Linked DNA regions of Arabidopsis thaliana. The protein of the gene in region 3 interacts with the protein of the main gene of each other region in a pairwise test. Each region holds a gene or a part of one and is shown on either strand. Other genes may lie near its edges.

The links.
Region 1: the proteins of AT2G25890 (region 3) and AT3G57220 interact in a protein complementation assay, tested with the Arabidopsis thaliana proteins (one large-scale study listed by BioGRID).
Region 2: the proteins of AT2G25890 (region 3) and AT3G62560 interact in a protein complementation assay, tested with the Arabidopsis thaliana proteins (one large-scale study listed by BioGRID).
Region 4: the proteins of AT2G25890 (region 3) and RBL2 interact in a protein complementation assay, tested with the Arabidopsis thaliana proteins (one large-scale study listed by BioGRID).

The regions. Positions count from the first base shown.
Region 1 is NC_003074.8:21,170,233-21,179,518, forward strand, and holds AT3G57220 (Glycosyl transferase family 4 protein), read left to right. Parts: upstream 1-4,162; 5' UTR 4,163-4,283; coding exon 4,284-4,651; intron 4,652-4,874; coding exon 4,875-4,962; intron 4,963-5,086; coding exon 5,087-5,178; intron 5,179-5,257; coding exon 5,258-5,376; intron 5,377-5,459; coding exon 5,460-5,575; intron 5,576-5,683; coding exon 5,684-5,811; intron 5,812-5,918; coding exon 5,919-6,005; intron 6,006-6,119; coding exon 6,120-6,180; intron 6,181-6,265; coding exon 6,266-6,306; intron 6,307-6,392; coding exon 6,393-6,513; intron 6,514-6,612; coding exon 6,613-6,672; 3' UTR 6,673-6,962; downstream 6,963-9,286. Other genes in the region: AT3G57200 (glycosyltransferase-like protein), read left to right, coding at 84-192, 308-442, 526-570, 710-897, 1,100-1,241, 1,329-1,375, 1,457-1,544, 1,629-1,871; AT3G57210 (uncharacterized protein), read right to left, coding at 3,130-3,500, 3,616-3,721; AGL16 (AGAMOUS-like 16), read left to right, coding at 7,478-7,659, 8,863-8,941.
Region 2 is NC_003074.8:23,134,104-23,142,376, reverse strand, and holds AT3G62560 (Ras-related small GTP-binding family protein), read right to left. Parts: upstream 5,092-8,273; 5' UTR 4,839-5,091; coding exon 4,710-4,838; intron 4,598-4,709; coding exon 4,466-4,597; intron 3,818-4,465; coding exon 3,497-3,817; 3' UTR 3,232-3,496; downstream 1-3,231. Other genes in the region: AT3G62550 (Adenine nucleotide alpha hydrolases-like superfamily protein), read right to left, coding at 5,303-5,390, 5,470-5,588, 5,814-5,923, 6,012-6,183; AT3G62540 (Pentatricopeptide repeat (PPR) superfamily protein), read left to right, coding at 7,064-8,273.
Region 3 is NC_003071.7:11,033,244-11,040,259, reverse strand, and holds AT2G25890 (Oleosin family protein), read right to left. Parts: upstream 2,958-7,016; 5' UTR 2,901-2,957; coding exon 2,376-2,900; 3' UTR 2,081-2,375; downstream 1-2,080. Other genes in the region: AUR2 (ataurora2), read left to right, coding at 3,250-3,462, 3,908-4,015, 4,106-4,252, 4,349-4,444, 4,526-4,621, 4,714-4,810, 4,899-5,016, 5,112-5,184 and 1 more; AT2G25870 (haloacid dehalogenase-like hydrolase family protein), read right to left, coding at 5,958-6,125, 6,238-6,426, 6,515-6,565, 6,651-6,770.
Region 4 is NC_003070.9:23,406,352-23,414,729, forward strand, and holds RBL2 (RHOMBOID-like 2), read right to left. Parts: upstream 4,789-8,378; 5' UTR 4,375-4,788; coding exon 4,100-4,374; intron 3,561-4,099; coding exon 3,397-3,560; intron 3,284-3,396; coding exon 3,120-3,283; intron 3,054-3,119; coding exon 2,703-3,053; 3' UTR 2,453-2,702; downstream 1-2,452. Other genes in the region: AT1G63110 (GPI transamidase subunit PIG-U), read left to right, coding at 1-153, 319-375, 479-647, 753-810, 885-970, 1,065-1,121, 1,314-1,406; AT1G63130 (Tetratricopeptide repeat (TPR)-like superfamily protein), read left to right, coding at 6,503-8,378. UniProt on the Arabidopsis thaliana protein: Rhomboid-type serine protease that catalyzes intramembrane proteolysis. Can cleave the Drosophila proteins Spitz and Keren. May function in pollen elongation.

The DNA.
Region 1 (9,286 bases), on a different chromosome or scaffold from region 3:
TTTCATTGTGTCACTTATGAAACTTGGGATTTTGTTCCTTTACTTTTAGATCTATAAATCCACTAACGTGATTTTTTCAACAGCCGGATATGGAATGAGACTTGGCTGTCGAGCTTCTTCTACAAACCGTGTAACTATGAATTATTCGTGAAACAGTCCTTGAACATGGAAATGGCAATCACCATGGCTCAGGTATCTCTTACTTTTTACCATATTTGTTGAATATGGTTTGTGGTAATAGCACTAGATAATGTAAAAAAGCCAACGGTCTCTCAGACTCTCACGCCATTTTATGCGGTGTATTTAGGACGCTGGTATGGAATGGATCATTCATCTTGACACTGATGAGCTTATACATCCTTCTGGAACCCATGAATATTCTTTACGCAAGTTGCTGGGAAATATTTCTGCAGACGTGGATGTAGTTATCTTTCCAAATTATGTGAGTCTTACAGTTGTTTGGATTTCATTTTTTATCTTGCGAAAAAACTTCTTCTGGCTTCATCAGCATTGTCTGTTTTTCAGGAGAGCAGCGTTGAGAGAGATGATATCAGGGAACCTTTCAGTGAGGTATAAAATTTATCATCTGAAGCTATTTTGCCAACATGAGAAATTGTTCACATGATTGTTTGTTTACCCACCATAGGTACATTGCTATCTTTATAGATCTAAAAACTACTCTATTTGTTGCACATTCATTTTATTGTAGGTATCAATGTTCAAGAAGAATTTTGACCATCTTCTGAGAGATGTCTACTTTGGAAACTATAAAGATGCCACTCGTGGAAATCCAAACTATTTCTTAACCTATGGAAATGGGAAAGCTGCTGCCCGTGTTCAGGACCATCTTCGTCCCAATGGTGCTCATCGATGGCACAACTACAGAAAGAGTCCAAAGTATGCTCTTTTCTCGTTAAATTGTCTATCATTTGACTCTTTGTATCTGGCATTGCTTCCCTCTGTATATAATATGTTAGATTCTACTGCGGTTTATTCAATAGAAGCTTATAGTGGGACATGGACGAGCCTAAGGCTGTCACTTACAATTGTTTTAAGGTGCTAACTATTTTGTGGCTGATTCATGGCATCTTTTCTACAGTGAGGTCAAACTTGAAGAAGCTGCCGTGCTGCACTATACTTATCCCAGATTTTCAGATCTTACTTCAAGACGTGATCGTTGTGGCTGTAAGCCCACTAAAGTGGATGTCAAGAGATGTTTCATGCTAGAGTTTGACAGAGCTGTGAGTGGAGATTTATAGTTTTTTGCTTTATATTTCCTGCATCGTTTTCCGAAATATATAGTCACAGCTCTTGGCTATCACATGTAGGCATTTATTATTGCTTCAACAGCGAGTTCAGAGGAAATGCTGCAATGGTATTAATATAGATTTAAATATAATCACTGCTCTTCATCCCATTTTCAACTGCTGCAATCTAACCAGCTTCACTAATACAGGTACAGAGAGCATGTTGTGTGGACTGATGAAAAATTGAAGTTGAAACTCCTTAGGAAGGGAATTCTAACCCGCATTTATGCTCCCATGGTTAGTTCCACAAACTCAAACCACGCTCTTTATTTGACATGAACGATCAGTGTTTGGTTTTCCACAAGCTATCATCTCTTACAGGTTATAATCCAAGAGCTAAGAGAAGCGGGTGTTTTTAGCTCTGTGGTAATCGCAGCTCACAAGTCTCCTTCGAAGAACTCTTCAACTGCTGATTCGACATCAGGCATTACCCGAGAATCATCTCAGGAAACTGGTAAGAGGAGGGTGTTGGAATTCCATCTTGATGTTGACGGTGAATCCCAAGCATCAGCGGTACCACCACAATCGCCTCCAGGCTTGGAAGCAACCCAGATGGAACTATAATATGAAACGTGTTTACAAAGGGTGGGATTTTTTAGAATGATTTATGAACAGTTTTGAACCTGAGCTCTGGTGTACATTTAGGAAAGTTTTCGTTTAGGTTATACACACAGATGATTCTACAGGTGAAGAGGAATGTCATATAGCAGGGGTTGTATCATACTTGATGATTCTATAACTTGGAATACAAAATCATTGTCTTCCAGATCGGACTACTAGTCTTCTTTTGTGCTCCTTTATCTTCATATGTACATGATTGATCCTCAGCATTACACACTTGTGGTTTTTCTTTCCTCTCGCTCTGTTTTGCTAGGTCCTTATCAATTAGGAAGGTTCTGCAATTACGTTTCCAGAACTCCTGTCATCAAGTATCAAATTATCTCTCTACCTTCCATTCTTCAGATTTATGGTTTTCCTGAAATGTGAAGTTTGGTTTCTCAACATCTTTAGCTTCTTATGAGTCACTCAGCTGATGTCACAAACAGCTTCATGTTGACTTAAACCTTACAGAAACTTAATGTTTCAGACTGAGAACATGAGCAATAATTTAGAAGAGAGTACTTAAGTCAAATTAGTAGCAACCAGGCATTGACAAGTACTGATAAGGTTGTGGACCATAACAACCAATAAGAACAACTTAAAAGAACTTATACATGTTGGACGTATGATTTAGTAGTTACTGCATTGTTTAAACTTTTCTTGTTAAAATCTTTCTTACACTTTGATACAAAAGAAAAAGATGGTCATATTCTTAAATACTTTATAGTTTGTGCCTTTTTCATGTGATACATAACTCTGAAATCTAAAATAAATTCTTATTACATACAGAAACTATTCAAGGTGGAGACATTTAGGAAACCGTACAACACACAGAAACCAGTCCACTTAACATTTTACCAAATTAATAAGTTTAATAATATCATCTCTAATCCAAATTTTGAACCGCCATGGTTTTTGTAAGCCTTGCGCCGTCAAAGTTTAGATATCCGCCATGGTTTGGGAATGCTGAAACGCCGTAAGAGAAGTTTCACGCTCAGACTCGTACCCTTTTTGGGTATACTTTCGGATGGCTGATTCTATGGATCTTGTTTTGCGAAGACGATGAGCCAAGCCAACGCCATGGTTTGTGCGCCGCCGCCGCCATATCTGCCGTGATTTGTGAATTAAACGCTGGGACAGAAGTTTGCTACTCGTAGCCTTCTTTTTGGGTATGATATCTGAGCTTTGATTCCAACCGTCGAGACTAAAGCATCCCGTAGTCTCATTGAAGGTTTCTTCTAACTACAGCTATGCGATCAAGGTTCTGACCACAGCGAGCCTTACAAAAGTCAATGTACCTTATGTAGACAGTTGCATTCTTAGCAGTGAGAGAGGACTCACTGGGTGGCTCCATAGTTTGAATGGCTACTGACACAATCCTCAAGCCGGAAAGATCATGATCCGTGGTGGTCCTATCAGATATGGCAACAGAAAGTTCCAGATACAGACGAATCCAGTCATTGGCTCGCAGCTCTGATTCATCATCCACCACGTAAAATCGGTTTCTGTTTTCGAAAGGGTTCTCCAGCGGGAACTCAGGCAAGCTACCCATGCGGTAGAATTCTCTTTCCAACGACGTTTTAATGATTGTCCCTAAAATATACAATGATGAATGAAATACTAGTTGTTGTAATAATAATAATGATGTGTTAATGAACACGCCTACCCAAGTAAGGAGTCACATGTAGTATAATAATAATTTAATTACCTGGACGACGTCTTTCAGCAATAAAGGAGGTCAAAACAAGCCGGCCACAAGCTTCTTCATAAACGGAAGTCTGAAAAGTAAAACGCCTTCCACTAGATGGCTGCATTGCAACCAAAGTAATGTAGAAACAGCAAGCACCAGCAGCCAGAGTCCTGTTGTATCTCTTAACGTGAGAGAGCTTTAAGTTTGTCCCCTGATAAATCAAAAACGAAATTTGAATAAAAAGAAGAGCAAGAGTGGATAAAGAAAGAGAAGAAAGGAAGACAAGAGTCTTACACTTTGATTAAAAAAAAGATAGTATAGTTAGTAATTGCCTAATTAATTTCACAAAGAGAGATGATAATCAAAGAAGTTAAATAAGTCTATGGGATGCATTCTTAATAGTAATCTTGTTAACTTCTTTCTTACATTATGAGTCTTTGATTATATAAAAAAAAAAGATATTAGTAATTTGCCTAATTTCACATGAATCCCATAGACTTATTTATTTCTTTATACTTTGCTTTTTTGGGCCTTTTTGATAATTCATAAATAAGTGGTGTTGATACGATGTCGTATTGTTGTGCGTGGGCAAGTTGTAATTAAATGCTACAGGCTTTGAAGCTTCAGCGAAAAGTGGAAGAAGCAAATCCAGAGGCGGGGAACCAGAAATAGCCAACGGATCCGCCATGACTGCTCGTAAGAGAACTCCTTCAGTGTCCAATTCGGAGAAACTAGCTCTACCTGAACCTGCATCTTCCCCGACGGTTCAGAAGACCTCTGTTTCCGGAGAGGATTTCCAGCTCGCGCCGCCGAAATTGGGCGTGATTTTCGTGATCTCTTCGCTTCTGTGTTCGCTTTATCTTTACCTTCTCTGTTTCCACTACAATGTTGACAATGAGCTCAAGCGTCCGATCCTCATTAACGCTGGGCTTAGCTTGGTTGGATTCTTTGTCACACTCAAGTTGATTCCTGTAGCTGCTAGATACGTTCTGAGGCGTAATATGTTTGGTTTTGATATCAACAAAAGAGGCACTCCTCAAGGAGAAGTTAGAGTGTATGTTTTTCCTTCTTAGATTTGTCTTTGTTTAGTTCTCAGATTAGTGTTCAGCGTTTTTCTAGAAATGGATGTCTCTTAGATTTGATTTTTTGTATAGGAGGAAAACTATGAGATGTCTCATTTTCTGATTGATGTTCTATGGATGTTTACGCTTGATTTGATCTCAGGGGACTTAAAGTCTTTTGATGTGCTTATTTTCAGCAATCTTATTTCTTTGTAGGCCTGAGTCATTGGGAATTGTTGTCGGTATTGTCTTCTTGATAGTGGCGATTGTATTTCAGTTCTTTAATTTCACTGAAGATTCGGTGGTAAGTGTCCTGGTCTCAAAAGCTCAAGCTTGATCATTTATTTATTGTGAACTATGAACTTGGTAGCTCTTGGCTCATTTACTTTGAATGCAATTTATCAATCTGGCTAAATGACTCGGTGCAGTGGCTTGTGGAGTATAATGCAGCACTGGCGTCTATTTGCTTCATGATATTGCTTGGATTTGTAGATGACGTCCTTGATGTGCCTTGGAGAGTGTAGGTGCAGTTCTCATTTTGTTGGATTAAAAATTCATGATTTAGTTTTGTTTTCTTATTAACTCTTGTCAATTTGCAGGAAACTTCTCTTGCCATCTTTTGCAACCCTTCCACTGTTGATGGCTTATGCTGGACATACAACTATCGTCATACCGAAACCTTTAGTTTCTTATATTGGCTTGGAAGTGTTTGATCTAGGTACAATTCATCTTGTATATAGTGTTAAACCATCAATAGCTATTTTGAAATTCATTTCCTTAGTTGTATATTTATCGTGGCAGGACGTATATATAAGTTATATATGGCGCTACTGGCTGTCTTTTGCACAAATTCTATTAACATTCACGCTGGTTTGAATGGCCTTGAAATCGGTCAAACCGTAGTTATTGCAGCTGCTGTAAGTTCTGCTGTCAAAATGCGTCGCAATGCTTCATTTTTTTGGTCCCATTTTTCCTTCTGTTGGTTTCTCGTAAGTAAAGTTATGATAAATCTCAGTAACTTGTAGATTCTGATACACAACGTTATGCAAATCGGAGCATCTGTTGATACTGAGTATCATCAAGCTCATGCCTTCTCAATCTATCTTACTCAGCCATTGATGGCAACATCCTTGGCAATGCTTGCCTACAATTGGTAATCTTTGGATCTTTCAAGTCATTTTCTCTTAAATCAATCAGGTAAACTAGCAAAGCAGAATGCTTTCTCTAACCACGTTCATGTCCCCTCTTTGGTGATGTTAGGTACCCTTCTGCAGTTTTTGTTGGAGACACTTACACAGTCTTTGCTGGAATGACTATGGCAGTTGTTGGCATTCTCGGTCACTTCAGGTATACTTCTAACCATACCGTCCTTATTGCAATGTACTTAGATTCATCATTTACATTTAACTTATGTGTGAGCCTTCAATTAACTAACTACTTATGAAACTTTGCTTTTTGCAGTGAAACCCTGTTAATCTTTTTTCTTCCTCAAGTGTTGAACTTTTTACTGTCACTTCCGCAGGTTTGATACCTTTCTCCATCTCACACTTTCTGTTACTTTTCAATACATTTGAAAGCATCTAACTTGCTATTGTATAACTCTTCAGCTTGCTGGCATTGTCAAATGTCCACGACATCGTCTCCCCAAGTAAGCTATTTTTTGTCCATTTTTCATAAGAGGCAAAGCCAACAAGTAAACAACACATGACTCTTCCTCTCTCTTTTTTAAACCAGGTATGATCCTGCTACGGGACTGTTAACAGGAACAAAAGATGGGACACTCGTGAACGTCTACTTGAGGATTTTTGGTAGGAAAACAGAAAAGTCTCTATGTATTCATCTTCTTGTTTTCCAGGTAAACTTGTTAATGCCCATATTATCATCTCTAAATACAAGTTGGTTTATTCTGAGAGAGAGAAATCACAAGATTGGTGTTTTGTGTGTTCTATTGCAGGCTCTTGCTTGCGCATTTTGTTTCATGCTTAGGCATTTTCTAGCTGGTTGGTACAAATAAATCTCTGCAACATGAAGAAACTCTAAACCTGTTCCTCTTTTCATCTCTCTCTCTGCCTTCACAAATCATACAAACACAGAACTTGTTTTGCTTCATGTCCAACAATCTACTAGAATCATCGTTTTAGTTCACTTATATAGAGAGTTTTCATCTAAAGGCGAGTGTATCTCAACAATATAAAGCCAATGAAATGAATCAGAACAAATTTGTCTTGGAATTTAAATTTAACTACAAATGCTGATCTTATTTTGATAACTTTGATTAATAAACTAAATAATTTTTAGATTAAAGTTTTGCTAATATAGCATGCATTAAATGAAGTGTCCATTTACATATATTTTTGAATTTTAAAAATGCGCTTTTAATATTAGACAGACTACTGTCGTACTAGAATAATAAAGAATGTAATAAAAAAATAGAAGGAGAATCGGAAAAGAAACCCACTTATAGAATGCCATGTGTCAAAACATAACAAGCGAAGTATGTTTATATAGTAAGAAAACTCTTTTGCCCTAAATATCCCAAATTGTCATATGTTCTTTCCTTATGTGGCTCTCTCTTCTCTTTCTCTTTCTCTTTCCTTTTTCTCTTTCGATCAACAAAACCACATCTCTGAACTGAACCAATTTCTCTTCTCCCCCTTCCGGTTATCGGATTACCAGATCTCGTTTCCCGCGATCTAGTTTATTCTTTGAAAAAGGTAAATGTTCAATTTTTTTATTTTATTCAAAATCTCCCCTGGATTCAGGAGATGATGATTTGAAATTGACGATGATGTTTGTGTGTAAAAGTGATAGAAGCAGAAATGGGAAGGGGCAAGATCGCGATTAAGAGGATCAATAACTCTACGAGCCGTCAGGTTACGTTCTCGAAGCGAAGGAATGGATTGTTGAAGAAAGCTAAGGAGCTTGCGATTCTCTGCGATGCTGAGGTTGGTGTCATCATCTTCTCCAGCACCGGTAGGCTCTACGATTTCTCCAGCTCCAGGTACCTTTTTTCTTTTCTCTTTGGTTGACTTTTTTTTTGGGTCTTGGTCCATCTAATTGGTTGATTGATTGATGTAGCAAATTCTAAATCTCGATTTTTTTTTTTCTTTCTTAAGTCGATTTCTTGTTAATTGTTTGCAAATTCAATTGCTTTAGAGAAGGAATCGTAGATCAACTTAGTCTGATAATTTGCAGAAGAAATCACTTGGTTTGAATGATAATATGTTTTGTAAGGGGAATATGAGAGTGTGTTCTCTGTGTTGTTGGAGATGATTACGATATTTGTGTGGAACATAGATTGTGAGGGACTTGTGGTGTTTATTGAAACATACTAAATTTGGTAGAAACTTTATCAGAAGAGGAAAGGAGGGGAGAAAGTGGTTAGTGGTTGAAGAAAACTCTAAACTCTAGAGAGGATTTAGAAAGAATCGTCTCCTTTTCACTGTTCATTTACTTTATTGGCAACTAGTTGGTGGGTTTGATGTACCTAAAATGAGCTGCATTATCTTCTCTTAATATATATTGTTAGTACACAAGTGGGGGAATCATTTCTGATTTCGTTGTCATCCATAATCAAGTTTTTGTTTTTTTAATTCTTCAACTTGGTCATTTGTTAATGATATGTAGGAGTATAGTCTTTCTTTTTGGGAACATTTTGCGATTTGTTAGAAAAATATTATATCTTCAATCCTTTCTGAATTTCTACTTTAGGAGTTCATTCATTTCTTTATTTGATTGTATCTTTCGTGTTTACATAATTGTTTATTAAAAAAGGTTGAATAAAATCTGGCTCTTAGATCTGTTTCAGAGGGAGAAAGCTTCCATTGTTCTGCAGAGCTTTTGTTGTTTCTCTGTTTTTTGAACTGAGACTCTGTTTTTTTCTTTTTTTCTCTTCAATAAAGACAGCAAGATATCTATACTGTTTACTGATTAGAGTTGGCTCTATTTACATCAATTTTGTCTGGCTTCTCTCATTCTCTGCTTAAACTTCATACATTATGTTAGATTTATTGCGAATCTGTAGTTGGGGTGCTGAGAATCCTGTTCCATGTAGACAGAGATGGCTTAGGGTTAACTAAATCTATTTAAGTAAGAAAATTTGACACTGAAAGATGTAAGGATAAATGTTGCAGTGGATGTTGCTTGGGTTACATTACCTATCAACCACACTCTACAACTATGAAACTACTCTCTTTTTTGGCAGCATGAAATCGGTCATAGAGAGATACAGCGATGCCAAAGGAGAAACCAGTTCAGAAAATGATCCCGCTTCAGAAATTCAGGTACTCCTTTTTTTTGTTACTCCTCCCTATGGATTTCAACGAGTAGACAAAACAAGTAACATACTACAACAGAGAGACTGTTACTCGATTCTTGTACTAATATGTTAGCCTATTACAACTCATTAGCATTTCTCAACTTTTAATTCCTCTCAAGCTGATCCTGATATCTAATCAGAGTTGCAGACCATAAATACCACCACACATCATATGTTGAAGTAGGGTTTGCAGTTTGCTATAAAACACAAGTCATGCCACCTGAACATCAGATTGCATACATAGTGTTGCATTTTATTTTGTCAAGAATCCGTTGTAGACTAGATAACATATTTATCCGAAAACAAAATA
Region 2 (8,273 bases), on a different chromosome or scaffold from region 3:
GCTATAGCTAAGTTTAAATCAATCTCGTCTAATAATAATATCTCTTCTATAATTACCCTTACTCATATTAGGTAACTCAATCATATCTTTTGTAATTACTCTTAACCTTATTAGATAGCCTCATAAGTCATTTATGTACACAATCTCTTCATGAATACTATACTTTTTCCTATATATATATATACTATCTTATCTCTTTTTCAATGAATGTAATCTGAATTACTATTTAGGAAAGGTTTTGGACAAATTTATTCTAGTTTTGGATTTGTAGATTTGATTTATTTATGTTTATTCACGCCTCAAATATGTATATATAATTGTTGAAATGAATTTTAGTATAGTGACATGTTTAAAATGGGACATTTTTTCCATAAAACTACGATTACGAAACTTTTAAATCAGCTGATTGAAATAGTAGACTTTGTAATTTATATACATCATTGTGATTTTGTCATATTCTGAAAATCGTCATAGTATGACGAATGATTGCATTATTCCCATCACCCATCTCTCGAGTAATCATGTTCAATTATTACTTACTATATACTTCGAGTTTTATTTTCTTCATCAGATTCTTTGGCTATTATTGTTTTGCCAAAAATGAAAATTTAGAATGGAGCCTATAATATTGATCATAATTAGATGTTGGCCATGCCAAGAATTTCTTAATGGTGCACGTTAAAAGCTTTTGATAAATTACACACGAGTATCAAGATATTCATGTTATGTGCTTCAATGATGAATATAATTACCTTTCCCCGATTTTATACCATTGTGAAATTACGTAATTAATTAATCGGGGCACGTCTTGTTATTAATGTTTCTTAGAAAACAGCATGCTATTGCAAATCATGTAGAATTTGTATGGTCTAAAATCAATGCAATGTCAACATGTATGTAGCAGAAGACATATGGTCCGTATGAAAACAATATGTAATGTCAAATAAATATCCAACTTTTTTCATAGGATTCTTAAAGAAAAAAAAAAACTATATAGCAAGGGATGGTAGCCTTTATGATTGGGAACTGAATATAACAGCAATAATAATAATGCAGCTCATAAAATGATTATATTATAGGTACAACTTCCTTCCACATTTTTGGACTTATAGGCAATGTATGTGTATTGGCTTCAATTTACAACATAGGTGTTAATCATTCAGAATATAATATCGATCTTTAACTATGTATTACAATTTTCTATTCTCCCTTGTATAAATAAAAAATGGGTAAAAAATACAGTTTTCCCTTGAAATCCTATATTTCCATGATAAATAAACGAATTTCTACAAAGCTATATGAACATTTTTTTACATCAATGATTCTCTATATTCTTACAAACCAAACTCTATTCATTTGTATATAAATATGAACTCTTGATTGAATTTTCGTATGAAATTGAACTAGTTGAGAATAGAGATAAGAGATGAGAACTGCTAGTATAATACAAATTAAAAGATAGAGTCGAGCATTAAATAGTTGATGATAGTGCACACCGTGCCATTGGTCGAGACAACTATGCCAGGATGGCTTGAGTTAACAAACTCTACAAAGACGACGATTACGTGTTAATTGTAGTTAACTAGTGTTGAGTTAAATATTTGGTTTAAAAGTGGGTCTACTTAAAAGGCAACTGTCCCCATTCTATAAACATGTTAGCATCTTAAGAGGCACACCATGACGGCGTATATATCATACACACAACATGTACATACATATTTATACGTAAATACCCTTCATATTTTCATATATACATACACATCAATATGTATACTTCGTCAAATCCCTTCTATCATATGGTATGTTTTAGTTCTAAATTTAATTTTGATAAGTTATATAGTATCTTGCAAAGTTATAGGAATGCATATAGTCCAACAGAAACCAAAAATTATTTGAAAAATCATAAAATATTAAGCTTTCTAGCTACAAGTGGACATCCAAAAATATTGTACATAACACTTTCACTATTGGGTGTTTCGACATTGCAACATGATTGCATTGTCTATGACTGGTGACTTTCACCGAGACATGGGTTTTATATAGAACCAAATAAGTGTCAAAGTTGGCGCAAGTTTTAAGATAGGAATCTATTATCAAATACTAATAATACTAGTTGTATGATTAACGTCGTTATTTAATTTGAAGTATTGAGTAAAAAAGAGAGAATATTGCGTTGGGCATCAAACCAATCATCTAGTTTTGCTCAAATGCATACGATAGAGACCTCTTTTGGATCCAAAAGCTTTGGGTTTTGAACTAAAAACTGAAACCAATCACATAAAAGTCAGATAGCTCAGAGGGAGGCACGTGTTCTTGGCTTAGATATCACGTGGGAATGAGGGATCCATGTGCATCCCTTTACCCCAAAAACCAAGTTAATACTTCTTCTAAATTTATTTTTCTCTTCTCCACGCAATCAATCGAATGAGTTTTAATATTTTGACATTTTTTTATATATAAAAAAAACTTTTCTCATTCAAGCAAAAAACTTAAATCAAATTATTCATTTGGTCACATTTTCGTGCTTGGTATTTCATGGGTCCTGGGACATAGAACCAGTCTCTAGCTAGTGGCGAATATAAAAAAGAAACAGCATAGTAAAAAGAAGAGCAAAAACTGTAACAAGGAATCAATCCAAAGGAGAAAAAATTAATAACAAATGATAGAAATAATACGTTAAAAAAAAACTTTTGATATTAACTTTGGGCCACGTAGAGAAGAATCAGTCCAAAGGAGAAATGTTCTGAAAAAGTTATAAAAAGAGAAAGTGAGCACCTAATAGTTTTCTTACACATCCATATTTGCATAGTCCGTAGACATATATATGCTTGAGCTGCAAAATCTTGAGTCGCAAAATCTAATCTATTAGCCTTATTACGCTGCGACTTGAACGTTTGGAAGCGGCTGAGATCAAAGACGCATTGTGATGGTGCTAAAAAGCAAATTTTTTTACTTATTTTGTGAACTATTTTGGAGTATTATTGTTCACATATTTTAATGAAAATAAATACATGGTTATCCATAGATCTGTTTGTGTTCATTTCACAATACCTAGAAAGAAGAAAAACAGACATAATGATAAGTTCACAAAGAGACATAACACATGTAAAACAATATACGTACACTCATTATGGTACATCTATGTGTCAAATTGATTGGTTTTCAGTGTAGGACATTGTGATTGTTAATTGTCAAACTCGATTCACATGGGGTTTTCTCTACATTACATTATTAAAGTAAAAGTGTTCATCTTTCGAATTTTCATAAAAAAGCTAAGATACAGCCATTTCTTAAGCCCCACACAGTTACACAGTCACAGACAAATGGGTTCACACTTTTCATAGGATTCAACTTTGGTCTGTAAACACAAAATTGATAATTTAAAAGCCGTCAAATCTTGTTGTATACACACATTAATCGTAATTATACATTAGGTTATAACACGTACAGATACCAATCACACAGTATAGATAGATAAGACTTAAATATGATTGATCTAGTCGATATATTGAGAAACCCATTTAAATCCTTCGCCGTAACCCATCTTTCTGACAATGCTGCACATGAACACCTCAAGAGGACGAACATTTGTTCCTGCTAGATTCACTTTACCTTTCCCAGTGGTGAAACTGGTGAGGCCTAGATGATAACGCAGCTCGTCTTCTGATGCAGCGTACGGAATGTCGATTTTGTTTCCAAGGATGAGGAAAGGGACATTTGCTAGGGATTCATCAGAGAGAAGAGCGTCAAGCTCTTTCTTTGATTCTGCAAACCTCTCTTTGTCATATGCATCAACTAGGTATACCACTGCATCAACCTAATACGAGACAATAATAAAGTTACAAACTTGAAGATAGAATGCAAAGAGGGTAGCTAATAGAAACACCGGAGTCTATTAATCTCTTGATTCACTGGAATCATCAGCTATGAGAATGTAAATCACAAGGGACCTCATGACTCTAAAACTGACAGTAAGAGTAGTCTATAGCTATACAATCTTCTAATTTTCAACCTCCACTGGCTCCACATACCAATCACAATGTCATTTTAAACTACAGTATATGATGTATATGTATATCTATCATCTGAAGATTTTACTATAGCTCAATCATTTCAAACTATCATCTGCAAACTTATATAACCCAACGGAGCAACACAGTGGCTAAGGAACAGAGTAGGAGTAGTACACAGCAAGAGCTTACTAGGTACACATAACCAGCAGAATGTAATCACAGGACCTCATGCTGCAACATTCAAAAGAGAATTGCTATATGACAAACTTCATTGAAGATTTCACTTCACCTCTATCATCTAACTATTGTTTATATGGGCACAGGGAAGATTGTAATCTATAACAGAGTCAGCTTAGAGTCTACATACAACTATACGAGCGCAATAGTCCTTCCAAAGACTTGCTAAATTGATTGACCTAACAATAAAATCCAAAGAAGAAAGAAGATCAAACCTTAGCGTAATAGTCCTTCCAGACTCTACGAGCAATCTGATGACCTCCCAAATCGAAGGCTTTGAACTTGATTTTGCCGATACTAAGCTCTTCCGATGTCGGATGCTGTGTCGGCTGATGCTGGACCAGTCTCTGAAACCCAAATCAAACGATTATCGCTGATTAAGACTTTGATTCGTTCGCGCTAAGTAAAAGAAACAAGATTCTAGACAGCGATTACTGATATGGCTCGAAGAAAACGAACCTCGTCCTTTAACATGTGAAGCAAGGTGGTTTTGCCGGCGTTGTCGAGACCTAGAAACAGAATCTTCGCTTCTTTCTGCCATAGTCCCAGAGTTGCCAGAACTCCATAGAACCAATCCACCAGGAACATCGCTTCTTCTTCTTCTTCTTCTTCTTCTTCTCTCTCGCGAGATTGAAGATTTTCACGAAGCTTCGAACACGGAAACGGCGACGTTTAAGTATGACTGTGTCGACTGGATGAGTAACAGATATACTTTGGGCCTTGAGGCCTTTATTGAACTTTGAAGCGAACAACAATTAAGTGTTCAAACAACAAAATTGCAAATATTCAAAACTTGGTATATGGTTCATTACATTCTTCTATACGTTAAATTGAAATTTGCGTTTACATTAGTTTTTAATTTGGCATTGTATGTAGAGAATGTAGATTTGAATTTAATTGGTTGATTGATGTCATTGTCAGCTAGTTTTATATAAGCAAAAATATCTGCTAAATTTGTTTAAACCGTTATGTATTTTATTATCGCATACGAAGATTGATTCAAGTGTTACACCAGTTCTTTCGAAACATATACACAATGCAATCATATGAGCTTAATTATCTTGAGCTTGCTTCTTGACGATAACCACAGGACACTTGACTCGTTTGGCGCAATACTCGCTCACACTCCCTAGCAAAGCCCTATCAAATATATCAAATGATTATCAAATAACCATTAAACCAAAATATTTTTGTTTCTTATAAGAGATTGAAACCTTACCTTTTGAAGAAGCCATAGTCATGAGTGCCCATTACTAACATATCAACTCTAAGTTTCTGAACTGCGTTGCATATAACTTCCTTAGCATCTCCTCTTCCAACTCGTCTCTCTATATTAATCTGCACATTAATTTGGTTATATTTACATTTATTTCGCCAACTCTCTTTGAAAACAACCATATTTTGCTTATCATATGTTATATTTTTTGTACTAAATATTGCTCATGATAAACAGATTAACTCATAACTACTTGATTAAATTCACTTTCTCATAATTTCTCAAGTTTTTTAAGCAAGTATAATCCAGCAAATTAAGTGATAAAAAATCGATAGAAATAAGCTTACATCAGACTCATAATCTTGGTACACGGTTCGAGACCGAGCCATGACCGATTCCACGAGCTCGTATTCATACTTCTTCAAAGCTGCAACCGGGTCTCCTGTCACTATAAACCCTGGAAATCGACCAAACAAAAATCTATAACTAAAGTGAACAGATTATAATTAGGGAAAGATATGAATCGTGAAAGAACGAGGACTAACCTGCGGCATCGAGGGAAGAGTAAACGGGAAGAGGGGGCTTGACGTAGAGGAGGATGAGTGTATTATTGGAACCATATGGAAAAAGATTGTCAAGACTCCATGACAGAGCTTCCATGCTCTCTTCGCTTTCGTCTACTGCTACTACTATCTTTCTCTCCTTTGTTTCCTCCATTTCTTTACCTTTCTAAAAAAAAAAACTGTTTTCTTTTGCTTTCAATTATTAGAGAAGAAATATATTATGAAGAAGACCTGATGGAAGAAGAGATTATGATTGTGTTACTATTTATACAATTAGCTAGGCAAAACCCACTTGATTTCTCATTTTGGAATTAAGTGTTTTCATTTAGATATTTGCAGACACTATCCTTTGTGTAATTTTTACATTAGATAAGATATAAACCCACATAGGATTGATTGATAACCAAATACAGAAAACTATCGTTTTTCTTTCAGGGGTGACTCTTATCTACAATATGCGATATTTTTATGTAGATAATTCATGATTTTTTATAGAATTATTTCATGCTTCTGAACTACTATGTTATTATAGATTTTAGGTGAATCAATATTTATGAACTTAATCTGGAATCTGATTTTCCTCATATATCCCTTAGTTTTATATACATCCCGCAGGGTTATTGATGATTGATGTTACACTGATTGACTGATCTTGATTTTCAGTTATGTAATATCCATAAACACGTATACAAAGACAACGTGAACTAAGAGAAATGTAAGATAGAATCAAATAAATCTAAAAATAAATTGGTCCCCTAAGAAAAACTTGAGAAAATATCACGACCCTAAAACGAAGATAAGATGCATACAGATACCTTCCAACTAAAAAATAAAAATTCTTTATGCGTTTGAGCTTTAATGCTCCTGGTGGACCCAATGGTTATATGTGACCAGATCAATGGGCCTTTAATGGGTCAAAATTATTATCACTCAAAGCTTCTAATCAAACAAAGGCCCAAATACGTGAAGAGCTCTCCGCCGTAAATCAGTGGCTTTTCACCGACTTCGCCATTGCTAATCGCCGTCGAGCTTCCATGGCTGCTGCTCCATGGCTCTATCTCTCTAGGAGAAGAAGCTCCACTCAGACTTCATTAAGAAGATTCCTCATTTGCTCTTCTTCATTCGATGCCGATGAATTCATTTCCAGTCAAAGCCGCGTAATCGGCGGGAGAGGAGAAGAGGAAGTACGATTTTCCGGTGCTCTCTTCTCTCGTATGATTCATTCTTCTACTTATCATCCTTACCGTCAAATTCCATTGCCACACTCCTCTGTACAACTGCTTGATGCGAGTCTTGGGTGTAGAGGTTTCTCTAGTGGTAGTTCTAATGTTAGTGATGGATGTGATGAAGAAGTTGAATCTGAATGCGATAATGATGAAGAAACTGGGGTCAGTTGTGTTGAATCAAGTACTAATCCGGAAGAAGTAGAGAGAGTCTGCAAAGTGATTGATGAATTGTTTGCGTTAGATAGAAATATGGAAGCTGTTCTTGATGAAATGAAACTAGATTTATCACATGATCTCATCGTTGAGGTTTTAGAACGTTTTCGACATGCTAGGAAGCCTGCATTTAGGTTCTTCTGTTGGGCTGCAGAGAGACAAGGATTTGCTCATGCTTCAAGAACATATAACTCCATGATGAGTATTTTAGCAAAGACTAGACAGTTCGAGACGATGGTTTCGGTACTCGAAGAGATGGGTACGAAAGGTCTATTGACGATGGAGACATTCACTATCGCGATGAAAGCTTTCGCTGCTGCGAAAGAGAGGAAGAAAGCTGTTGGTATCTTTGAGTTGATGAAGAAGTACAAGTTTAAGATTGGTGTTGAAACCATTAATTGCTTGCTTGATAGTCTTGGCAGGGCTAAGCTTGGAAAAGAAGCTCAGGTTCTGTTTGATAAGCTGAAGGAGAGGTTTACACCTAATATGATGACTTACACTGTTCTACTCAATGGTTGGTGCAGGGTGAGGAACTTGATAGAAGCAGCTAGAATCTGGAATGATATGATTGATCACGGATTGAAACCTGACATTGTAGCTCACAACGTAATGCTTGAAGGGTTGTTGAGGAGTATGAAAAAATCAGATGCGATCAAATTGTTCCATGTTATGAAATCCAAGGGACCTTGCCCTAATGTCCGTAGCTATACCATCATGATCCGGGACTTCTGCAAACAGTCGAGCATGGAAACTGCCATTGAGTACTTTGATGACATGGTTGATTCCGGGTTGCAACCTGATGCTG
Region 3 (7,016 bases):
AACATTAATTTTAACTTTTGGCTCTCCAGCTGATGGGAGTAAATTGACATGCTCCAAAGAAAGAAACACAAGTCACCTAGTGATTTTCAAGAAAATGTGCTTCCTTCAAAATATCCGAGGTCTAAGATGAAATAGTTTTAAAAATTGTTATGCGGGGCATATATTATTAGAGTGTTGTGCACTTGTAACCTTCCAGAAAATAAGCAATTTGGACGATATTTTAAGGTTTGGTCCATGTTCCAGTATCGTGTTAGGGTCCACTGCTTCGAGATCTACTTGATTGATACTCTTCCATTTGTTTTCTAATTGTTTGATGCAAAGGTTATCCATTAAGGGAAACTTATCTATATCACGTGGAATACTCACTGCAAAAGATTCGCAATATTAGACTTATAATTGTCACTAATCAGACCATTAAACAAATATCAAATTGATTAATATGTTGAATTTAATAATCCAATTTGACCTCTTTCAGATAGGGCTTTGGGGACAAATCTTCTTAAATCGCACCAAACTTTTATTATAAGATAATTTTTGGTTCGTGGCTATTAAATTAAGCCTGAAAATTTAAACATATGTTTCACTTACAAGCGTCAAGTATGGATAAACAATGATTAATCATAAGCTATCATAATGACAAAAAGAAGTATGATCGTTATCAGTTCTCTTATGCATAAACTATTGATAAAATTATAATAGTCACGAGATGATTGATCGAGCACGATAACTATTATAATAGTCACGAGAGAATGATGTGAAAGTTTAAGAATGCGTCTAAACCAACAATAAAATAATTTAAATAGTTATAATTGAATACACATTCTATATTAGTAAACATTCAAATTATTTAAAATATCTACGAGACACAATAGCCTCCCAACAACCATTCGTACATTCACTTTCTCATTAGAAAGAAAACGTATCCTAATTTGTTGTTTTCTCTATGAATGTTAATATCATCTAATAAGTCCATATAGACTATATCTAATAAATCCATATAGACTATTGTCTCTGAATATCAATGGATTTGAATCTTTGGCCAAAAAATTAAACAAAGAGACAAATGATGTAGAAGTCACATTACATAGTGGGAGTTAAAATTAACCAGAGTTTGCATTAGGTTGCAATAACGCTTGCATTTACGTCTTGCGGTGCTTACGTTCTGAATCTCTTTGTCGATGAGCTTGAAGATAGTTGATATTGGGATCGAGACTTGGTTGTGAACCACATCATTCCTTTGCTTCCACATATATCCTAACATTTATCTAAACAATCTGGTGCTAGAAGAAAGAGATTATCAAACTGATGCAATGACAAACTACGAAACACCACTCCATAACAAAAAAACTTAACCGTATATCGATCCTCAACTTTAGGAATAATCCTAACGCCGCACCCACCCGGCACCTGGCACCCACCACTTGAAAAATTCATAGCTCATGGCCAGTAGGGAACCGCGGAGGAAACTTACTCAGTCCATTGCGAGGATAAGGACAAAAGTACTCCTTCAATTATTCTAGAAAACCAATCAGACGTTGACAAAGAACCTCGTTTGAAAGTACAACTGCTCTACAAGACTGCATTGCCCACTACAAGCAGTGAATGTTGTCCACCCTCAGCTTCTTTATACGTTCGTGAAGCATGCATGTGCATTTTGTTGGTGCGCGCATAGTAAGCCATGCCATGCAATTCAATGCCAATGGTTTACGAACATATAGACAAGTAAAGTTTTCAATTATTTCATGAGTACCTAAAAACCACATTCATAGAACAGTTTGCAAGTATTCGAAATTTGGGAAAACATGCATACGACCTCACCGCATCTCTCAAAGGCCGAATACAATTTTTGAGGAATGATTAAACAAAGAAATATTTTTACAATCACACTAACTACAATACGTTCATGAAGACAACGTAAATGACACGAGCCATTTAGCGCAGCCTTCGAAATTTATTTAGCGAGTATAGATAAAGTGGTTCAAGCCTTGGTATTGATACACAAAATTCACAAACCTTGCAATTTTCTTTTTGAACATAAAAACAACAATATTATTTCAAATCAAACGGACCACACTCAAAACTACATTTACATATACCAAGAAAGCCACCATATAATTCTAGAAGCCAGACGGTGACCAAGTAATTGGCATTTATTAATTTACTTAATTCGTTATCATCTTTCCTTACACTAGCTATTTCACAATCATAAAACAGAAAATACCGATCAGCAATTAAACACACAAAAAATTGTATGGAAAATAGAAAATAAAATTTTAGATAGATCTTTTCAAAAAGGTAAGAACAGTATTAAAAAAACATACGTAGGATAATCATAAAACTTAATACAACATATAGATCCATATAATTATTAAACTCTAATGAGTAGTTGTTGTGGTTTGGTGTGTTTGTTGTGGCTGCGAGTGCGTATAATGTCCCAACTCTTTGGCTTTCTCCGCTATCCTCATCCTCGCGTAATCCACCTTATCCGCTCCCATCGGGTGTTTTCCGGTAACGTACTTATAAATCCACGTTAACGCCGTAGCTGCTGCCACCCCACAACCACCGGAGAATAGGAATCCCATCGTCAAAAGCCCTATCGTTATCACTGCCGGTACCAACACCGGGCTGAACAGAACCATCAACGGCGTCGCTACGATCAAACCGATCACCGTTCCGGTTAGTGTTAGTCCTGAGAGCACGAGGAGTGATAGGCCGATCGTAGCTGCCGTTACGAATCTCACTATCTGCCGAGTCGATGGTGATGATTCATGGAGACTCCTCATTATTGGTTGTTGTTGTTGCTGATGTTGTTGATGATCCGCCATTTCTTTTTTTCTTTTTCTAAGAGAGTATGGATTTAATGTTCTATGTTGTTTTTGTAGCTTTAATAAGCTTACCATTTGTGATTATTATGAAGAATGAAAATAGACTAGTATGAAGGAGAGGCTAAACTTAAACGAGACATGTGTCGAACGACGAGGCGTGTTAGGCAATGGAGAAGAGTGTCACGCGGGCGTGTCAGTTCTGCATGGAGCTACTTTGACGAGGTACTGACACGTGGTTACTTAGTTCCGAATTAAAATCTCATCGTCAAACGATCTTGAAGCTTATTGGGCTATTATCTGGGCTTGTAGTGACTGTATATTATCCTAGTGATTATGAAGTTGGAATACCGTGGGCTTAATAATATCTGGGCCTGTAGCGACTGTATCATCTCGGGAGACAAATTATTTGAAAATAAAAACCTCGATGCAGATGTATCAACACGTGGCAGCATCTGGATTCGACCGTTGCTGCTTTGCTGGTGGTTTACGTTTTTTCCCCTTTTTAAATTTCTCAATTTGGATCTGTTCCCTTTGTGAAAATTACTCTCTCTTCTCTCTTTCTTTCTTCTCTTTCTCTCGCTATCTTGGCTCATCAACGATCTCTTCCATGGGGATTTCTACAGAGACGCAGCAAATTGTAAGAAAATAACTTGTTCTTGGTTTCACAAATTCCAATTTCATTTGGTTCTTTTGTCGAATTTGTTTCAATTTAGGGTTTTACTTCCTTGTTGGTTTGCGTTTTTTCTCTGCGTTTGGTCTGTTCTAATGGAATGTGATCTGGGATTATCGATTTGGTTGCTTGATTTTCTTTGCGCCAGAAAGAATCTTGTTTCAATGTTCTCTGTTTAATTTGAGAAAGACTTGTTGGTATGATTTTGAGAAATTTCATGATATGATTGTGGATTTATTCGTTTACAGCGAGGACCCTAGATTAATTGACAAATCCGTGGATTAGTGTTAAGGAGCTGTTGATTTTATCCTTTTATCTTCAAGTTTTAAAGTATCAATGATTGTTTGTCGTTTATGATTAAGTGTATCTGAGAGTTGATTGGATTTCAATCTTTGTGATAATGTTGTATCAGGCGGCTTCAGAGGCTGCACAAAAGAGATGGACTACAAGCGATTTCGATATCGGAAAGCCACTTGGTAGAGGAAAGTTTGGCCATGTTTATCTAGCAAGAGAGAAACGGGTTAGTGTTTCTTCACAATTATGTTAAACAAGCAGAATTAATTTGATGTCTTTTTTAACCAAGCTGTCTTCTATGTGTCTTTGCAAACAGAGCGATCACATTGTGGCTTTAAAGGTTCTTTTTAAGGCTCAGCTTCAACAATCTCAAGTTGAACACCAGTTACGAAGGGAAGTAGAGATTCAATCTCATCTTCGGCATCCCAATATTCTGCGGCTCTACGGTTACTTCTATGATCAGGTTTTGTGTTATCTGTGCTTGTAAAAGAACTTCTTGTTGACATACAATGTTTGGCTCTGTGAGGTTAACATAGTTTTTGGGATACCGTTGTTGCAGAAAAGAGTTTATTTGATTTTGGAGTATGCTGTAAGGGGTGAGCTTTATAAAGAGCTTCAGAAGTGCAAGTACTTCAGCGAACGTCGAGCAGCAACTGTAAGTCCTAGTGATAATTGAACTTATTCTAGCATGTTAATGTGAATCTGTGTAGTCATACCCTTACGTTTATTGTGGCAGTATGTTGCGTCATTGGCTAGAGCCCTCATCTATTGCCATGGAAAGCATGTAATTCACAGAGATATAAAACCTGAAAATCTGTTGATTGGTGCTCAGGTAACAAATTGAATCTGGTTATCTTTCTCCATCAACGCCATGTGATTGCAGTTAGCTTATGTGTTTATGTATTCATGGATATATGTTTTCAGGGTGAGCTCAAGATTGCAGATTTTGGATGGTCAGTACACACATTCAACCGTAGAAGGACTATGTGTGGCACTTTGGATTACCTTCCACCTGAGATGGGTAAGAGAAAGCTCTCTCTCTCTTGTGTGATTCTAAATTACTTTCTTCGGCAACCAGCTAATTGACTTTTCTGCTTTTGGATTCACAGTGGAAAGCGTTGAACATGATGCGAGTGTCGATATATGGAGTCTAGGAATTCTCTGCTACGAATTTCTTTATGGTGTTCCTCCTTTTGAGGCCAGGGAGCATTCAGAGACATACAAAAGGTAACATGTTCATTAAGCGTAGAATGGGATTAGTATATGATGTTTGGTCAGTGGAATGTACATTAAAGAAGGGTTTTGTTCGACAAATGATACAGGATTGTTCAAGTGGATCTCAAGTTCCCTCCCAAACCCATTGTGTCATCATCTGCAAAGGACCTGATTAGCCAGGTTTCTACTCGCATTCCTCGTAAATCTCTCTAAGTGTTTGTGCATTTGAAGAGTGAATTCTGATTTTCACACTTTCTGATCAAACAGATGTTGGTTAAGGAGTCTACGCAACGTTTGGCCTTGCACAAGCTTCTTGAACACCCGTGGATTGTGCAAAACGCAGACCCATCAGGCCTTTACAGAGGATGAAGCGATGAAGCTAGGAAAAGATTTAAGATTGCATTCTTGGCACTTTGCACCACTTACTGCAAAAAGTCTGACCATTTCATAGTTCTATATATGTAATTGCTGTGTTCCAAAAGTATTTGTACTACATTTTTCTACGAAGTTTATATAGCCACAAGATTCGTGTAACTTTACTCCAATTATTTTCGAATCCTACATCACTTTTTAAATAAAAATTGTTCGGAATGGTTTCAAACTTACAACAGCTTTTGTTCATCGGTAACTTATTCACCAATTGATTGGTTAACGTTAACTGATGTTACTGCAGGTAACCAAATGAGATGGATTTGTTCACAAGAGATCCGGAACATTTTTTATGTTGTAAGATGCAAAGGTGCAAAGGCAAACGAATGAAAGATTAACCGAACATGAACAAAACAACAAGAGACGCACTCTGCAATCAATCATTTTCCTTCAAAAGGTGGGTGAATGAGACAAGAATGACCAATGTTTGTCTTTTATCTGTAAGACAAAGAAGAAGAATAATGCCTACTTAACCTCAAAAATTTAATTTGGTGTATCTTGTACTTAAATATGGTGGTGGAGTCTCAGAATGCGTAGCGGTAGATGGCATCAGCAACACCATCTTGGTCGTTGCTCACACCAATCACATCAGCCACCGCCTTTGTTTTTTCTGCACCGTTGCTCAGAGCAACTCCCAACGAGGCCAGTTGCAGCATCTCTATGTCATTTTCTCCATCTCCAATCGCCATTATCTGATAAGAAAATCCGGGTTGCTTCATCAACTATCTTATTTTTTGTTTGACTTCTATACTTATGCCTACTTGAGTTTCTTTACAACGCCGTCAAAAGATGCTAGATTATTACCTCATCCGGTGAAACGCCCAAATGATTGAGTAGCATTTTTACACCATTCCCTTTGGAGGTTCCGGGTGGGACGATTTCTAGCATGTCTGATTGAGCTTGAACAACATTAGCACGGTCTCCTGTAGCTTCTGACCAATACGGACGGATAACAGATGAGACTCCCTCGGTTGTGTCCATAAATATCACTTTCTTCGGATACACAAGAGAACCAAACATCAGTACTTTGGCTTATACATATGTAAGAAAGTAAGATATAAGTTCTGACTCCGGGAATTACCTGAATGTCAGCTTCAGCTATCAGTTGATCAACCGATGATATAATTTCGGCCTGTTAAAAATCATGGAGAGATTAGCAAGAAGCTGTCAAAAATCATAACTAGATGGGGAGAGAGCGTGCAGTTTCATTAACCTACCTTTGGCTCATTGTAGATTGTGTGAAGAGAGTCGACAAGAGGGTGGTCAAACAATGTCAAGCAGCGATCCTGGCTGAATGCAATGAGAGGAATTCGATGCTCCAAAGAATAAAGACAGGTCTGTATATAACAAATCAACATTTTAGTAAGTATAAGATAGGATTCCTAGAACTCAGTTATTCAATCACGATACACAGGGATAATAAGTTGAGCACTATCATAGGTACTTAGGTAGCTTTTTGCTGCTTAACATGGTAGAGAATTACATGATGCAAAGAGACTGGGTTCCAGAATTCTAATGCATGGTTTGTGAACTAAGCCGAGGATGTGAGAATTAATTCTGTGAGTCGTTGTAGTCTAAATCCT
Region 4 (8,378 bases), on a different chromosome or scaffold from region 3:
ACAAGCCAAGTTGAAACAGACTACGCACCTTCCTTTCTTATGGAAAACAGTCGCACACTTCTTGTTCTGGGTACTTCTGTGGTCACTCTATGTGTTGATTTTATGTGCCTTATCACTGAATAAATATGGTGGGCTTGAGGAGATGTTCAAGAGGTAGCCTCTAACTTAGAAATCTTATTCATAACCGCTATAGGATTAGTTTCCGTTAGCCATATTATATCTATAACTTATATTCCAAATCATATAATTATTTATTAAGAACTTGCAACGTAGTGTTTAGGCGATTTGATGTTTGTTTGTCTTTGCCTCCTATTGTAGGACGTATGGTTTCATTCTTAGTATTGAAGATCTTTCACCAAACATTGGAGTCTTTTGGTAAGTAAAATAAATTAATATGGTGATATCATTGGGTGATGAATAAGGGATCCCTTCTTTTATGAAAAGACTATTTACTGTTCGTTTTAAATCTCGTTTTCAGGTACTTCTTTGCAGAAGTATTCGACTTCTTCAGAAACTTTTTTCTGATAGTTTTACACGTAAATATTCTGTTCATGTTACTGCCCTTAGCCATAAGGTTGAAACATCGGCCATGTTTCCTGGCTTTCATATACTTAGCGATCTCCTCGATTCTTAAATCTTATCCTTCAGTAAGTAGTTGAATTCACTGTGAACTTGAAGTTATCTTTTCTTCTTTGAGGAATTATATTCATAAATGTTAACAATGCTTTCATCATTTGATTTACTCTCAATAGGTCGGAGATTCGGCGTTATACTTGAGCTTATGGGCATTGTTTGTCAATGAGTTATTAGGTAAAAGCAAATACTTCACATCCTCTTAGCATTGTTTAGCCTTTGCATATAAACTCTGCTTCTGTTTCACATAGATATGAAGTTCTCGTTCTTCCTCTTCTGTGGATATCTCGGGATCTCTCTCCTCAGCCCTGTGATGCACAATCTCTGGATATGGCGGGTAAGCTTCTACTCAAATCCATAACCCAACTCTTCACAGCAGTTGCAACAAAATGTTCTAATGATCACAACTACCTTTGATTTTTTCATGACAGGGAACCGGAAATGCAAATTTCTACTTTGGAAACGCTATCGGCTACGCGTGCTTTCAGGTAAAATATAGGCCTGGATCCATTTCAAAATTCATTATTCTATTCAGTAGTTGGGAGTTGATACTCATATAGTACAAAATTTGATGATATCAAGCAGAGGATGATGAGATCATCAGTTATTGATCAAAGAATGTTGTAGTTTTGGGTTATCTTGACTAAAACCCGCATACGGGTTTCTGCTTTTCTTTACAGATCGTTTTCGTGGTTGAGAGCGTAAGCGCAATGCTAAACCATGACAGGGCGCTGAAGAGATCAAACTCAAACCATCGAGAAGTCAAGAGCTAAGCCATTGAAGGTCATTGCGCCACTTTTCTGTTACACGTAAAGAAAAGAGTTGGGTCTTTAGCTTAAAGTTGGCAACATGTGATTTGTGTGAGTAGCTTTTCTTTGTTTGAGAACATCATATAAATAACAAATCTCCTGTGCCTTTCCGTTTAGAGTAACCATTAATTTGTACTTTTTACCGAGAGGTTTTAAAGTTCTTGTTTTGATCCGCAAAGCACACAATCATCCCTATATTTGAAGTTACATCGCATGTATACAAGGTATTATCATTTGTGAATGGTGGATGATTAAAGGCATTGTCTATGTCCCGTACTTTATCCTTATCCACTGCACCATTAAGGCCTAAATGACACAGTGCAGGAAGGTTATTGGGTGGTGTTTGGTCATTGTTTTCTTAAAAGTCACCCATTCACAATAAATGAAGTGTGATGCATTATTAATTTATTTGTAATATCATAAAAACTTGTAAAACCCACGTGGTACCAAAAACAAAAATCAGACCCTAACCGTATAACTGTATTTCACACTGTTGAAAATATATGTTCAATTCGATCTTGTGACATCTGAAATCTCCTAAAAATTATGCATATATTGCATGAAGCTGATGTATGCATGATTGCATATCTTGGTATTATATATTGTATTGATGGCGTGTGGTGATGGAATTTCATGGCGTTTGGTGATGGAATGCGGTTGTGTATCGGAGCTGACTTCAGCAAAGTTCAAACTTCAAACTGCAGTTTTCCTTCATAGCTCAGTCACAAAATACAGTTTGAAACTACTCCTTTTTCATCTGTTAAGTTAAGACAACTAATGGTTCTTGATTTTGTAATTTTGTTTCTTGGATTTCATCAGATGGGAAGAAACTAGTGGAGGAAATATACTTCGAACTCCTGGATTGCAATTTCCAAATGGCTATCATGTTAAACTCAAGAAGAAAGAGATCTAGAGAAAGAAGAATTTGAAGCAAAGGAAGAATAATAATCTACAAGACCTAAGATGGATACTATAAAGTGTGTACTATAACCAAATTAAAGGAATTTATTTCCAATTACAGCTTATGTTTTACATTAATAAAATTGTTTACTATTTATGTACTTAAAGACAGTTTGAGAAATATGGTGTTCAAATGTAAAAATAATACACTCTTTTATTTCTATCCCCTTTTACACAAGACGAATTTGGTAATGTACACATATATAAATAATCAAAGGCTAGAGAGATCAAAGAGATTAAATGTTAACAAGAACACATATAAAAGCTTTTACTATATGATTATGATGATGATGATGATGATTAGCAGGTCCATTTAGAAGTTGGGAAACAGCTAAGGTAATGACACCATTTGCAATGTTTGTTCCCATTCTCTCCTTTGAAAAGCATCACTAATGCAACCGTTAGCCCAACCACAAGTAGCACCACTGAAACTACAAACAGCACGTACTGGTACATGCTATACTTTCGTTTGGTTCGCGAAGTGTTGGTGCGGGAAGCTTCCCAACCGTACTGAGGTCGGACAAGGAGGACAAACCCGAGGCAGAATCCGGTTAAAAACCCTCCAATGTGTGCAAAGTTGTCAACCCGAGGAAGCATGCCTAATGCTAAGTTGATTGCGATGATGAACAGAAGTGTGATCAGAGCAGCCGCCTGCCAAAAGAAGCCGTTAATCCTAAGTTCCGGTTAAGGCGCGTATAGCGAAAAGGGCATAAGTACCTTGTTGGCATAGATAGTCCAATTGGTAAGAAGTTCAGATAACATTGCTCCAAGAAGTCCAAAGAGAGCACCCGAAGCACCAACAGAGATACTTTCTTGAAGGAAAAGCGACGAAAGTATGCTTCCACCGAGACCCGATATTAAGTATATCAACCCGACTCTTACTGCACAGTAACATTCCCGCGATAAAGATCAAATGTTTCACTTGGCGATTAAACAAAGAGAGTCTAAAACTTGACTGAACAATAATTCTTGTACACGTAAAGGTAAGACTTACTGAAGCCAAATTGCTGCTCAAGGCGGATACCAATGAAGATCAAACTCAACATGTTTGTAAGAAGATGAATGATACCAGCGTGAAGCCACATACAAGAGAGAAGTCTCCATCCTTGATGTTCATGTACTACTTTCCTCCATTCCAATGCTCCCATTTTCTCCAATCTGATACAAGTACATATCCGAGTAAAACCAAATCAATCACAAACACCATCACTACAATAATTGCCAATGAAATTTACAAATCATAATTCCAAACCAAGCTAAATACATAATTCCAGGAGAAAAATAAAAACTTTGAGAAACCCTACAAGTTTGAGCTCATGTTCCAAGCCACTAACAGACAATAAAGATCAAATTCAATTGCCAAGTTGAAAACACAAAAATTGAGACTTTTTCAGTTTGTTGAAAACAAAAAAAATTGAGACGTTTTAGGTACCCAAAAGATCAAACTTGTTTGCCAGTAACTTAGATTAACAAATTCTAGAATCTCGAGCTTCAACTACAAATTCATTGACGTTATCAGTAAGGCACTAATTGGGTAATCTTAATTACTGCAGAAAAATGAAAACTTTGAGCTCAATTTCCATAAGAACAGACAATAGTGATCAAATTCAATTGCGAATTGGACTCCCAAAAAGTTTGAGACTTTGGAGATACCCAGAAGATGAAACATGAATCTCCAACTTTAAAGTAATACTTACGTTGAAGAAGAAGGACCAAAGAGAGGATTCTCTTTAAGTGGTTGAAACGAGAATCTTCCGAGGAATCTAGCAACACACTCTTTGTTAGGTCCGGTGATTTTCTTAGGACAATCATTAACGAACATAACAGCGATAAAGACAGCGAGATTTGCCACTACAATCGCCGGAATCAGCCATGAAGTCCAATGAGTTTCACCAGAAGACTCCTCGTAGAAATAATTGTTATTAGCTCCTCTGTTTTTCTTCCCTACTCTCTCCACATCTCTGTTCGCCATTACTCTGTTTCTCTCTCTCTCTCTCTCTGTCTATGTGGTTGTTATATAAAATCGAAACTTGGATTAAACGGATCAAATACGAAATTCAGGAGAAGTAGCTTACAAGAAATAAAGGATTAGAAGAAAGAAGAGATTGAGACAGAGTATCAGTAATCAGAGAGAGATTTAGGGTAAAAACTACAAAGTTGTAACCATTAAAATAAAATAAAAACGCTTTTTCACGAATTTAAACCGTTGAATTGATGTTGAAAAGTTAGTGCATCTAATTATTTATGGAATTCTATTAATTATGTTCTTAATCTTTATCGATGTGTGTAGAATAACAAAAAGTAAAGAAGAGTTTTTGGTGTTGTGTCAATGGCGAGTTAGGCGGTGGTGCCAGCTCCTCCTCTCCTAGGTTTTAGTACAAGTTTCTTTTCTGAGTGCAAAAAACAACTCAGACCTGCGACAAGATTACAAAATATATAACTTGAAAACAACAAAAAAACAAGGTATTTTGTTAAAGTAAAAAGAGAAGATAAAACATATACTCCTTTTATTTTTTCTTAATTGAATTTTTTACAAAAAGGGTTTTATTTTTTTATTTTTTTTTATACAAAAAAGTGTTTTTAAAAGATGGATTTCTAGATTTTTTTGCAATATTAATTAGATATTATTGATGAATATCAAATTTCAAGATAAATAATTAAATATTATTGATTTTTAATTATAAAAAAATATAAAACACAAAAAATAATATATTCATAATTAATTTTAATAATATTTTCTTAAGATATGTATTTTTTTAGAAAATTAATTATTAAAAAAGAGAGAAAATATAAGCTAGTACTATTTGTAGTACGTGTTATTTTGTTTTAATTATAGCATGGTATTTATAAGTTAAACTTTTTTTTCTCTAGCATGAAGACTTTTTTTTTCTGACGAAAAACTATATATAGCAAAAGGTTCTACGGTCTCGATATTTAACTATTTATAAGATTTAATAAGTTGCCAAGGGCTTCTTTAGAATAGTCGACTTTTACATTGTGGAACAAACTATTGAATCCAACAAAGACTAACTCTATAATCTCACTAACAATCGCTTGGATATTATTGTCGATCTCCAAGGAATTTATCATCAGGCCTTAAATGGACTTCGTTGCAGCATATTTCAATGGTGTATAAATTTTTGTAGCCTTGTAGGTATTGGTAGAGTTCGAGAACTTTGAGGATTGAAGGGAAGATATTATATGATCCACCCGAAATTTTTTCGTAAAAGGTTTAATATTCCTTGACGTTTGAAACCATATCAATGAAATTAATAAATAAAATATTAGAATAAACTTCAAAGATGGTTATAATTAACCATAATTTATCACTAAGGAGTATATGAAAGCCATGTGTCCAAACCAAACTCGTGTTTAATGTTCTAAACCAATTGTATGTACTTTCACATTCATTTATCAATAAGACTTTTGCAGAGGTATGAATACTTGTCCAAGTCCGTATAATGGGAGAAATGTTTGGGAGGTGATACAAATAGATGTGTATATTTTGCAAAATGAATGCATACTTTGGTTTTGTTGACATATGATTAGAAAAAATGATAATGACCAAACTTGTATTGTATCATTGTATCATATACAAGTGGAACCAAACAGATATAGATCTTTACAATCCAAGATATAAATTGGTAAGGTCCACGCGGTTTCACCTTAATTAGAAAGGGACATCTCAGCAATAAAAAAAAAAATGAAGGAAATATAGTTAGACAAATATGGAACCAAAATAGCAAAACTTGATAATCTTCTTTGTTTTTTTCATATTTATTTGCTAATGCTGGCCTTTCAATTTAGAACTAAACCAAAAAAAAATACATTATGTGATTATAAACCAAACCGGTGATAAAAATGATAAGATGAAATCTTGACCGGTCAAATGATCCAACGGTGGTGCGAAACTGGATGAATATCACTCTCACTCTCTCAGCCTATGTGAGTCTCTCTCTCTGTTTGGTTTGGTAGAACCAAAAGTTCAAACCTTTACTCTCTCTGTCTGCAAAAGGTTCATCATTTAGGGTTTATACAAGTTTACAGAGAGTTTACGATTCTGAATCAGTGATTTTGGAAGAAACCCCAATCAGCTGAAGATGAGGAGATTGTTTGCGATTTCATCGACGGGAAACAGATTTGTTCATCGGAGTCTTCTCGGAAAAGGTAAATGTGGAACTGCTCCTCCTTCCTTTAGCCATTGCAGTTTCTGGGTACGAGATTTCTCTGGTGTTAGATATGATTACAGAAAAATATCGATAAATAGGCTAAATGATTTGAAGCTAGATGATGCGGTTAATCTGTTCGGTGACATGGTCAAGTCTCGTCCTTTCCCTTCGATTGTTGAGTTCAGTAAACTGTTGAGTGCCATTGCTAAGATGAACAAGTTCGATCTTGTCATCTCTCTCGGCGAGCAGATGCAAAATTTGGGAATTTCACATAATCTTTACACATACAGTATTCTCATCAACTGTTTCTGCCGACGCTCTCAGCTCTCTCTTGCTTTAGCTGTTCTTGCCAAGATGATGAAACTCGGCTATGAGCCCGATATTGTCACGCTTAACTCTCTGCTCAATGGTTTCTGTCACGGGAATAGGATTTCAGATGCCGTATCTCTTGTTGGTCAGATGGTGGAAATGGGATATCAGCCCGATTCATTCACATTCAACACTCTAATTCATGGACTTTTTCGCCACAACAGAGCTTCAGAAGCAGTGGCTTTAGTTGACCGGATGGTTGTGAAAGGTTGTCAACCAGATCTGGTTACTTATGGTATTGTAGTAAATGGATTATGTAAGAGAGGTGATATTGATTTGGCTTTGAGTTTGTTAAAGAAGATGGAACAAGGGAAAATAGAGCCTGGTGTTGTGATCTACAACACTATCATTGATGCTCTTTGCAACTACAAAAACGTGAATGATGCACTCAATCTGTTCACTGAAATGGATAACAAAGGAATTAGACCAAATGTTGTTACCTACAACTCCCTCATAAGATGCCTTTGTAATTACGGAAGATGGAGTGATGCTTCTCGACTACTCAGTGATATGATTGAGAGGAAAATCAATCCAAATGTAGTCACTTTCAGCGCATTGATTGATGCATTTGTGAAGGAGGGGAAGCTTGTAGAGGCTGAGAAATTGTACGACGAGATGATCAAAAGGTCTATAGATCCTGATATTTTCACTTATAGTTCACTGATCAATGGGTTTTGTATGCACGATCGTTTAGACGAGGCCAAGCACATGTTTGAGTTGATGATTAGCAAGGACTGTTTCCCAAACGTAGTGACTTACAATACTCTTATAAAGGGATTTTGTAAGGCTAAGAGAGTAGACGAAGGTATGGAACTCTTCCGCGAGATGTCTCAAAGAGGATTGGTTGGCAACACAGTCACTTACACCACTCTTATCCATGGATTTTTTCAAGCTAGAGAGTGTGATAATGCCCAAATAGTTTTCAAACAGATGGTTTCTGATGGTGTGCTTCCCGATATTATGACATACAGCATTTTATTAGATGGGCTTTGTAATAATGGGAAGGTAGAGACAGCATTGGTGGTGTTTGAGTATCTGCAAAGGAGTAAAATGGAACCTGATATTTACACATATAATATTATGATTGAAGGGATGTGCAAGGCAGGGAAGGTGGAAGATGGGTGGGATCTATTTTGTAGCCTCAGCCTTAAAGGAGTGAAGCCTAATGTTGTAACCTACACAACAATGATGTCAGGATTTTGTAGGAAAGGTTTAAAGGAAGAAGCAGATGCCTTGTTTAGAGAAATGAAAGAAGAAGGGCCTCTTCCAGATAGTGGTACATATAATACGCTTATCAGGGCACATCTGAGAGATGGTGACAAAGCAGCATCAGCTGAACTCATCAGAGAAATGAGGAGTTGCAGGTTTGTTGGAGATGCTTCAACCATTGGCTTGGTCACTAATATGTTGCATGATGGGAGATTGGACAAAAGCTTTC